Linked DNA regions of Mus musculus: region 2 is reported to be linked to region 1. Evidence: microRNA targets listed by miRTarBase, many of them from high-throughput screens and not tested one by one. Region 1 holds a microRNA gene; the other region holds the end of a gene's coding sequence.

Evidence for each region. Region 1 holds the annotated microRNA mmu-miR-499-5p (UUAAGACUUGCAGUGAUGUUU, at 3,414-3,434, shown strand). A microRNA usually pairs through its seed, bases 2 to 8, with sites in the 3' UTR of a target mRNA and lowers its output. Matches are read on the target gene's strand: a 7mer-m8 pairs with bases 2 to 8, a 7mer-A1 pairs with bases 2 to 7 and ends in A, and an 8mer does both.
Region 2: the mRNA of Ccnd1 is a reported target of mmu-miR-499-5p. Seed matches in the 3' UTR shown: 7mer-A1 at 825-831.

The regions. Positions count from the first base shown.
Region 1 is chr2:155,619,480-155,624,847 of GRCm38, forward strand. Mir499 (microRNA 499) reads left to right here and starts at 3,401; the gene lies at 3,401-3,479. Myh7b (myosin, heavy chain 7B, cardiac muscle, beta) reads left to right here. Exons shown (of 42, transcript NM_001085378.2): 12 at 611-714; 13 at 908-1,046; 14 at 1,302-1,420; 15 at 1,513-1,662; 16 at 1,787-1,957; 17 at 2,689-2,868; 18 at 2,955-3,087; 19 at 3,166-3,242; 20 at 3,724-3,811; 21 at 3,965-4,082.
Region 2 is chr7:144,927,863-144,933,230 of GRCm38, reverse strand. Ccnd1 (cyclin D1) reads left to right here. Exons shown (of 5, transcript NM_007631.3): 5 at 460-3,300. The coding sequence ends at 624. It also overlaps a transcript of LTO1 not described here. Among named protein-coding and RNA genes, the nearest start is that of Ccnd1, 9.3 kb to the left of the region's middle.

The DNA.
Region 1 (5,368 bases):
CCCAGCCCAGCCAGGGCTATGTAGAGAGACCTGTCTAAACAAAATAAAATAAATATGCTAATAAATAAAATAAAAATTTGAAAAGAGCTAAGTACAACTCAGTGATAGAGAACACTTATCCAGGAGGCACAAAATCCTGAGTTCCATCCCAATTATGCACAAGCACACATGCGCACACATGTGCACACTCATACATATACCCTTACACACTCACACACATACTCTCACACACTCGCACATATACTCTCACACACTCATACACTCTCACTCACACTGTCTCTCCCACACTCACACAACTGTAAAAAAGAAGCAGCCAGCAGGTCATGCCTGTAATTCCAGGACTCAGGAGCTGAGATCAGAGGATTGTGAATTACGACCAGCGTGGGCTACACAGAACCTGTCTCAAAAGAATAAATAAAAATAAATGATGAAATAAACTAAAAGCCTTGTGTAGGGATTACAGAGACCAGAAGCTCAGGTTACAGAGAAGCCCTTATAGGCTCAAGACTCTCTCTGAGAGACCCCTGTCCTCGGGGGCCCCCTGGTGGGCAGGAGAGGGAAGGCAGCCTGAGGCTTCCTCCTGACTCCTCCTGGGCCTCCCTGTCCATAGACATGCTGCTCCTGTCCATGAATCCCTACGACTACCACTTCTGCAGCCAGGGGGTCACCACTGTGGACAACATGGATGACGGCGAGGAACTTATCGCCACTGATGTACGATGCTCTGTGGGGGAAACGGGGTGGGCGTGGGGGTGGGAGGGGGCACCAGGCTGGATTCCCATGGGTTGGGTGTGTGTGAGTATATGCACTGGGTCGAGACCGGGGAATTAGTATGAGTGGGGTGGTCCTCGGCGAGACTCTCAAGGACTCATATTTCTCTGAGCCTGCTTGGTTCCTTCTACATCAGCATGCAATGGATATCCTGGGCTTCAGTGTGGATGAGAAGTGTGCCTGCTATAAGATCGTGGGTGCTCTCCTGCACTTTGGCAACATGAAGTTCAAACAGAAGCAGAGAGAGGAACAGGCTGAGGCAGACGGCACTGAGAGTGAGGACCTCTAACCCCAGTCTGACCTGGCCTTTACCCTGGAAACTTTCCCAGACATTCTCCTTGACCCTTGCCAATAATCTTTCATCTCAGTGTTCTCTGTTCCTGTCTGAATTCTAGACCCTCCTAAAGGTGACAATCTTCAGGCCCCGATTCCTCTTAACCTTCCTCTTTAAACCCCCAAGATGTGACAACAGACCCCTGACCCCCAAGTGCCCACGTTGTTGCCCTTATCCAAGCCATGTTCCCTGCCAGGTGCGGACAAGGCTGCCTACTTGATGGGTGTCAGCAGCGGGGACCTCCTCAAAGGTCTCCTGCATCCCCGGGTTCGTGTGGGAAATGAGTATGTTACCAAGGGCCAGAGTGTGGAGCAGGTGAGAAGGCGCCAAAGGCTCGCTCAGGGACAGCTGAGGCGGGATCCCTCTCTTGCCGGGTCCCACCCGACCCTGCCGCCCTGTATCCACAGGTGGTATTTGCCGTGGGGGCCCTGGCCAAGGCTACCTACGACCGGTTGTTCCGATGGCTGGTTTCTCGAATCAATCAGACCCTGGACACAAAGCTCCCTCGACAGTTCTTTATCGGGGTCCTGGACATCGCTGGTTTTGAGATTTTTGAGGTGAGAAGAGCTCTCAACCACGGCAGAGGCTGATGGGTGGGTGTGGGGGACCACAGCTGTGCTCCCCACGCCCTCCAGTCTGCATCCATCAGGGGCCTGCTGATTGGGGCTCTGCCACCCATAGTTTAACAGCTTCGAGCAGCTGTGCATCAACTTCACCAACGAGAAGCTGCAGCAGTTCTTCAACCAGCACATGTTCGTGCTGGAGCAGGAGGAGTACAAGCGGGAGGGCATCGACTGGGTCTTCATCGACTTCGGCCTTGACCTGCAGCCTTGTATCGACCTCATCGAGAAGGTCAGACCTAGGGTGGGGACCTTGCCGGAAGTTGTGCGTGCGTGCGTGCAGGCCTGGATAAGCTGCCTATCAATGTGTGGTTGTGATTGATGTGGCTATTAAATATGCATTGAAGTGAATCACTATTCCCGTTCAGTTGAGAAGTGAAGTTTGGGGCTGGAAAGATGGCGTAGGAGTTAAGAGCACTTGCTGCTCTTGAGGAAGGTCTGGTCAGTTCCTAGCACCCACAACAGGCAAGCCACAGCTGCATGTAACCTGAGTTTCAAGGTATTCAATTTCCTCTGGCCTCCATGGGCACACAAACTCATGCCGGCACATACATATGCATACAAATAAACAAACACTTATTTTAAAAAAGAAACATAGATTTAGTAAAATATTGGGTTCCCTATTTCTAAGGAGTGTAGATACCAAAATGCAGATTCAAATGTCTTAAAGGAAAAAAAAAAAAAAACTTAAGCCGAGTGAGCCATGGATGTTAGTTAATAGGGCACAGAGATGCCAGCCTGTTCTACACACATAGGCGGGGAAGGGGATCCGAAGTCAAGCCACAAACTCTTCTCTCCCAGAAAGTGGGTTCCTGGGTATACACACGTGCCTGACTTCTCCTGTACACGGCTGGCTTGTGGACCTGAAACAGCTCCCAGAGGGAGTTAGGCTGGAGAACAAACGTCCAAGGTCCCAGCCAGCATGGTCTAGCCTGGCCCTTCAATCTTGCTTTCTGTTCCCAGCCTCTGGGCATCCTGTCCATCCTGGAGGAGGAGTGCATGTTCCCCAAGGCTTCAGACGCAAGCTTCAGGGCCAAGCTCTATGACAATCATTCTGGGAAGTCACCTAATTTCCAGCAGCCTCGCCCAGACAAGAAACGCAAGTACCAGGCTCACTTCGAGGTGGTCCACTACGCAGGCGTGGTAGGTGCTCGCTGGAGCCCTGTACTCAACCACTGTCCTCTCTCCCTCCTCAGGGTCGCCACCTGGGTCAATATTTTTCTTTGTAGGTTCCTTATAGCATCGTGGGCTGGCTGGAGAAAAACAAGGATCCCCTCAATGAGACGGTGGTCCCCATCTTCCAAAAGTCACAGAATAGGCTCTTGGCCACCCTCTATGAGAACTATGCAGGTTCTTGCTCCAGTGAGTACTGAGGGACCATTCCTGGGGGTCCACAGAGCCACGTTCCCTGGCATGATCAATTCTCATTGTCTCTCCTAGCCGAGCCCCCCAAGTCTGGGGTGAAAGAGAAGCGCAAGAAAGCAGCATCATTTCAGACCGTGTCTCAGCTTCACAAGGTGAGGTCCAGACTGGGGTCCCAGCGGCCCTGGCTTTCTGCAGGCTGCCCCGCCCCCTAAGACTGCCACGCCCCCTACAGGCTGCCACGCCCCCTACAGGCTGCCACGCCCCCTGCAAGCTGCCACGCCCTCCTTGCTCCCTGCCGTCCCTGTGTCTTGGGTGGGCAGCTGTTAAGACTTGCAGTGATGTTTAGCTCCTCTGCATGTGAACATCACAGCAAGTCTGTGCTGCTGCCTGCCCCCATGCTGCCTGGGTAGGGCTGGGGGAAGGGGGAGCCATGGGACGGAGCCCTGGGGGTGGGGGGGCGGTGAAGACTTAGGTGGTGTTTGGGGTGGGGCAGGTGTCATAAGGAGCATTTGGGCTCCTCTGCCCAGTCCCCTCTGGTCCCTAACCACTGCGGCATGCAATTCTGGTTCTCTGACCCTCCTGTGCCTCTCCCTGCTCCTCCTGTGCCTCTCTCCCTGCTCTCCCCATTCCCAGGAGAACCTCAACAAGCTCATGACCAACCTGCGGGCCACACAGCCCCATTTCGTCCGCTGTATCGTCCCCAACGAGAACAAGACTCCAGGTGGTGTCCCCGGGCTGGCCAGGATGGGGGAACTGGAGGCATCTTAGGCTCTCACCTTGGAGGGTTTGCTCAGTCTCTAAGTAAGGCCTGGGTAGGGACCTAAAGGCATGGCCGTGCATTTCTAACCACCTCTTCCACTCCCACCACATCCAGGGGTCATGGATTCCTTCTTGGTGTTACACCAACTACGCTGCAACGGGGTCTTGGAGGGAATCCGGATCTGCCGCCAAGGGTTCCCCAACAGACTGCTGTATGCTGACTTCAGGCAGCGGTGGGTGCTGACTGCTTCAGCCTCCTCCCGCTGCTCTTAGATTAGGTAGAGCTTGAGGGGGTCGGGGAGACATGTTGGAGCCTGAGGGACATACAGCAGTTCAGGTCTCCTGAGGAGGCGTCTCAGTCTGGAACTGGGTTAAGGAAAGAGGTGACTAGACTTGAGGTAAATGTGGAAGTGGAGGCTGCTGGCTTTGCCAGTTACTTGGGTACAGGATAAGAAAGGGTTAGCCTGTGGTGACTCCCAAGTCTCAGGCCTGAGCTACTGGGTAGTAGATTTACTGAGCGATAAGGCAGGATGTTTAGACTGGGTGCAGAGGGGGTTTGAACATGCGCAGTTAGAAATGCCTCTGGCAGATGTCTTAGGAGAGAAGGCAGGTTTTCGGGTTGGATTTATTATTCTAGAACTCAGGTGAGCATACGAGAGAGGGTATAGATTGAGGATTAAACATGGGTTTGTGTGGACCTTGAGAGATGCCTGACAGATAGTGGGTGTGCCAGCAATGTCATCGGCTCCTTTCCCACTTCCCTTGGTCGGTTCTGTTTGTTAAACTACACGTGTCCTTAGTTGTTTCCCCTTCTACAAGTAAAGGAGCTATCACCTGCCCTTTATAGTTTAGCTATCTATACAGATGCTGTACATGTGCGCACGTGTACACAGAGAGCTTGTAGGTTTGTTTTTATGTCACTATCAGTCCCATCTCCAACCAAGGGCCTGAGTCTGCGTTATCTTTGTCTGTTGTTTTAAAGCAGGGTATTGCTGTGTGGCCCAGGCTAACCTCAAACTCTCAATACTCATGGGCATTGTGTCTCATTCCTATAATCCTAGCACTAAAGAGCCTGGGCAGGAGGATCATCAAGGGTGTGTGAAGCCAGTTTGGGCTACATAGTAAATTCTAGGGCAGCCTACGTTTCTAACCCAAAACCCAAAACAAAGTCCTGAGATTTGGCGGATGGCTCACAACAGGGCAAGCCTTGAGGCGTGAGGACCTGGGTTTGAGTCCCAGAACCCACATGAAATGCTGGGCAGGGTGGTGCACATTCATTATCCCAGGGGAGGAGCTGAGGCTCCAGGCCATCCAGTGCAGTCTAACTGTCTCAAAGGAGGTAGACTGAGTTCGTGAGGATAGCCGGCCCCCGGATGCATGTGTGCTTAGACCAATGCACATACATTTAAAACTGAACCTGTGCTGAAGAGCTGGTAGTGACTAAGAGCATTAGCTCTCGCAGAAGACTCAAATTCAGTTTTTAGCACCCACGTGGTGACTTAAAACCATATGTGTGTGA
Region 2 (5,368 bases), not on the chromosome of region 1:
TCTAGCCATGGTGTTCATCAAACAAAGGGGGAACAATACACAAGTTTTGAATGTGGGGGCTTCCCAGGTGTTCCCCAGGAATCCTCCTGGCTTCAGGAATATAGACAGTGCCCTAGCTTCAGCCTGCCTAGGCAGGGCTTCAGTTCATGAGTCTTATTCCTGGGCAAATGCTTTCCAGACCCTACCTGTGCTGGAGCTGTCCTCTCTCAGAGGCCACCCAAGGCAAAAAGTTATGAGAGATAGACGCTCCTTGTGGGGAAGTTCAGGGTACAGCCTGGGAGGAGGAACCTAGAGAGTAGCAGTACCTTTCTAGTCTCTGGCAGCTCTCACTGGATTTAGGGGTGGCTTGGGGAGTTTCCTCAAGCCTTGCTCTTAGCAAAGCCTGCCTCGCAGGTCAAGGCCCTGGCCACCGGCCTCTGGCTAAACAAGGACCCCCTCCATCTCCGCCCGCCTCTCCAGGACTGCCTCCGTGCCTGCCAGGAACAGATTGAAGCCCTTCTGGAGTCAAGCCTGCGCCAGGCCCAGCAGAACGTCGACCCCAAGGCCACTGAGGAGGAGGGGGAAGTGGAGGAAGAGGCTGGTCTGGCCTGCACGCCCACCGACGTGCGAGATGTGGACATCTGAGGGCCACCGGGCAGGCGGGAGCCACCAAGTAGTGGCACCCGCAAAGAGGAAGGAGCCAGCCCGGGTGCTCCTGACGACGTCCCCCTTGGGGACATGTTGTTACCAGAAGAGGAAGTTTTGTTCTCTTTGTTGGTTGTTTTTCCTTAATCTTTCTCCTTTCTATCTGATTTAAGCAAAAGAGAAAAAAATATCTGAAAGCTGTCTTAAAGAGAGAGAGAGAGAGATAGAATCTGCATCACCCTGAGAGTAGGGAGCCAGGGGGTGCTACAAAAATAGAATTCTGTACCCCAGTAATCAACTAGTTTTCTATTAATGTGCTTGTCTGTTCTAAGAGTAGGATTAACACAGGGGAAGTCTTGAGAAGGAGTTTTGATTCTTTTATATGTTTTTAAAAAAAAGCTTAAGAAACATTGCTTTAAAAAGGAAGGAAAAAAAATACAGCAAACCATTGTTAAAGTAGAAGAGTTTTTAGGTTGAGAAATGTACTCTGCTTTGCTGAAAAGCCACAGCTTAGGCCCTCAGCCTCACTCCCTGGCTTGCTCAGTGCCTACAGCCCTGTTACCTGATACCTGTGCTTTATCCCAGGGGTGGGCAGACCTCTTAACCTTATAGATGGTCAGTGCGACCTCTAGTGGTCTCATGGCGTGTGGCACAACCCCCCTCCCCAGGGCTCAGCTTAATGTGCCCTCTCCCCCCAACAACCTGCAGGTTCACAGCACCAGCCACACAGCGGTAGGGATGAAATAGTGACATAATATATTCTATTTTTGTAACCTTCCTATTTTGTAGCTCTGTTTAGAGAGATGCTGGTTTTTGCCTGAAGGCCCTGCAGCCTGCCCACATCAGGTTAAACCCACAGCTTTTGTGTGTGGTTTGTTTTGTTGTGTTTTCTTTCTCTATGTTCCAAAACCATTCCATTTCAAAGCACTTTTGGTCAGCTAGCTGGAGGCAGTGTTGCTGGTGTGTGTTGGGGGGAGGGGTTCTAATGGAATGGATGGGGATGTCCACACACGCATTCAGATGGCTGTACAACAGGTTGTAGGGCTGGTAGTATGAGGTGCTTGGGAAGTTTTGTTGGGTCAAGAAGAGAGAACTCTGTTCTCGCACCACCGGGATCTGTCCTGCAAAGTTGAAGGGATCCTTTGGTGCCAGCTGGTGTTTGGAAGTAGGAACCATGATGGCATTACCTGGACAAGGAGATTGGGGACAACTCTTAAGTCTCACACAGGAGGCTTTTAAACACTAAAATGTCTAATTTATACTTAAGGCTACAGAAGAGTATTTATGGGAAAGGCTGCCCATGACCAGTGTGACTCAAAGCAATGTGATCTCCCTTGATTCAAACGCACACCTCTGCCCTGCTGGAGAAGGTTTAGGGCCATGTCTGAGAGATTGGTCTTTCATTGGGCAACGGGGGGGGGGGGGGGGTCCTTAAAAAAAAAAAACCACAAAGACAGAGATTTGGTCTGCTTGACTTTCCCAACCCAATTGGCCCCATTGGAGAGCCATCCAAACTGAGGAAAATTAGGGGACTCCAAAAGAGTTTGATTCTGGCACATTCTTGCCGCTGCCCCCAAGTTAACAACAGTAGGTAATTTGCACACCTCTGGCTCTGTGCCTTTCTATTAGGACTTTTTGGCAGAAGGTGGAGAGCGGGAGGCTTAAGAGGGGATGTGAGGGAAGAGGTGAAGGTGGGACCACATGGGACAGGCCACGGCTCCTCTCATGGCGCTGCTACCGATGACTCCCAGGATCCCAGACGTTCAGAACCAGATTCTCATTGCTTTGTATCTTTCACGTTGTTTTCGCTGCTATTGGAGGGTCAGTTTTGTTTTGTTTTGTTTTACAATGTCAGACTGCCATGTTCAAGTTTTAATTTCCTCATAGAGTGTATTTACAGATGCCCTTTTTTGTACTTTTTTTTTTAATTGTGATCTATTTTGGCTTAATGTGATTACCGCTGTATTCCAAAAAAAAAAAAAAAACAGGTTCCTGTTCACAATACCTCATGTATCATCTAGCCATGCACGAGCCTGGCAGGCAGGTGGGCGGTCTGCCTCCAGGGATCCTGGGACCCTGATGGCGATCGTCCTGTCATGCTGGGCCCTTCATTTGATCTGGGACATAGCATCACAGCAGTCAGGGCACCTGGATTGTTCTGTTATCGATATTGTTTCTTGTAGCGGCCTGTTGTGCATGCCACCATGCTGCTGGCCCGGGGGGATTTGCTCTGAGTCTCCGGTGCATCATTTAATCTGTTAGGTTCTAGTGTTCCGTCTTGTTTTGTGTTAATTACAGCATTGTGCTAATGTAAAGACTCTGCCTTTGCGAAGCCAGCTGCAGTGCTGTAGGCCCCCAAGTTCCCTAGCAAGCTGCCAAACCAAAACGGGCACCACCAGCTCAGCTGAGGCATCCCAGCCAGGCAGGACCCTTGAGGGCCGCTGTATCCATGGTGATGGGGTGAGGTTTTGGCCAAAAGGCCAAAGACTGGTGGTGGGTCCACGGAATCTGCCCTGTGACATGAAAGGCTTTGAGGGGCTCTGGCTGGTGGCCAGGTTGGCTTTTTGTATTTCTGGTTGACACACCATGGCGCTTCCCAGCACAGACATGTGACCAGCATGGTCCAGGAAAAAAAAAAAGACAAAAAATCTAGAAAATAAAATTGGTAAAATCTCAGCTCACTGTTGTCTGTGTTTTCTGGGAACAGGAGTGGGGTGATGCCACAGCCATGTGGGGTGGCATCTCTGGCCCTGGCACCAACCTGGGATTCCCAAGGGGAAGGGTGTATGCAAGTGACAGCCAAGAGCAAAGTGGGAGCCTCTGGCGTCAGGGAGGCCAGCGACAGCCACTGATCAGAAGCGGCTCTGGGTCCATCACTGCCAGCTCACCCTCCTGCTTATTTGCAGATGGAAGATCAACAGAACCCGCGTTCACTGCCCCTTGTCTGGCGCAAATGGGTGTTTGCTCTGGGTGAATCACCGTTTCTTAGGTGCTGCCAAGCGCCCAGAGAGCCATGCTTAGTGTTAGGGCCAAGACCCAAGGTGGCCTTTCACATAGTTCTGCAGACCTGAGTGGCCTGGCAAGACTCCTGTGATGTCTTCGGGGTGGCAGTTACTCATGACTAGTATTGTTTCCAAACCCTGTGGGGACAGGTGGCTTTTAGACATCATCTTCTACAAGGTAGCTTTTGGGTCTCAGCTTGGCTGTTTTGGTGCCTGGTGGGCCCCTGCCCTTCTGGAAAGTGGAGGGTGTAGATGACACCTGGTCTGAGTGGTGCCACCCAATGATGAAAGCAGAAAGAGATGGACGGAGAGAAGCCCACAGTGACCTTGCCAGGCGACCTACTCAATGAGAGTATATGGGAACACCAGAGCCAGAGGTGGCTTATGAAGACACAGTACTCATCTTGTACCAAATTGTCTGATGGCAGGATCCAGAAGGTATTTTGTCAGCCCAGCTCCATATAAGCATCCGAGCCGGGTCCACAGTCACATGGCATCCAGGAGAATGGGCATGGGGCCGTCAGCATTCCAGGAAATGGCCAAAGGGCATTGAGGTGGAAGAGTGCTTTCCCCCTTGGTTCTTAGAAGCACTGGGGAGCGAGCTTATCGTGTCCAGGTAGGCTGACATGAGGAAATCCGCTGGGGTGCAGCAGCCAGGCAGCCAGTGCAGCAGAGTGGTACTAGGAATGCAGACACAAATAGCAAGGGGCTGAGCATCCACTCAAAGGCTGCTGCTGCTGCTGCAGCTGCTGCTTTCCACCACTGCCTATCAAAGGTGCTCATGGAAGGGCGCCCAACTGGAATGGGCAAGCATCACCATCAACTGCACAGGGCTCACACATGGTGCAGTCTCTTAACGGTGCAATTGGCTTGTCTCGTCATCCAGTGGTCTGTGATTCCCAGCTGTGGCTGATAGCCAAGCCTCTTTTCTTGGTTTTAGCAGTGAAACCCCAGATACCACTGGCCACTCCAGGCTCCAACCCTCAAGTTTAACTGGTAACACTGGAGGCTAGATCCTCTGCTGGGTGTAGAGATACTCCTGTTCTAAGGGTGATGGTAAAATAGCTTTTTGAGGGCCCTCAGAGATAAGGACTCAGGGAGCCAGCACACCCAACTGTCTCCTCTCAAAAGCTCAATGGCTGGTTCTCTCTCTGCCTCTACCAGCTCCATGGTCCCCTGCCCTGTGTCCTGGCCAGGCTCTCCTTTTGCAGGCGGCCTCCATCCTGCTGAGCCATCCTACCTCTCTCAGCCAAGCCAAGCTCTTGAACCTGCCTGGCCTCTCTGAGCCTCAGCTCCCTGAACTGGAAAGATTGCCCCTGGCTCCCCATTCTGTGTTGCCCCACTGCCTGGACCTGCTCCAGCCTTCCTGTTTGTCCTACAGGACTCACAGTGAATGTGGCCCCTGTGGAGCATGTGGAGCATGACATTGCACAGGTGACTCTGTGTAGCCTCTCCCCTCCTGACTCCACATCCTAGAACCAAGTGTGAGGAAGTTAGCCTGTTGCCCATGGGTCAGCTCAACTGCTGCACTTTGTCCCAGAAAGCAGGCCAACTTCACCAACCCTACAGAGGATCTGGGCTGCTGGGGCCCACAAAATGCCAGCAGTGGGAGCTGAGGACTCCAAGGGGTGGGACACAGGCAGAAGAGTAGGACTGTGTGTTCTCCCTGCAGTGCCCCAAAGCCCTGGCCACAACATCCCAGGAGACAGTCAATGCGGGTTGGGCTGTGTGTTTGGTGGCAA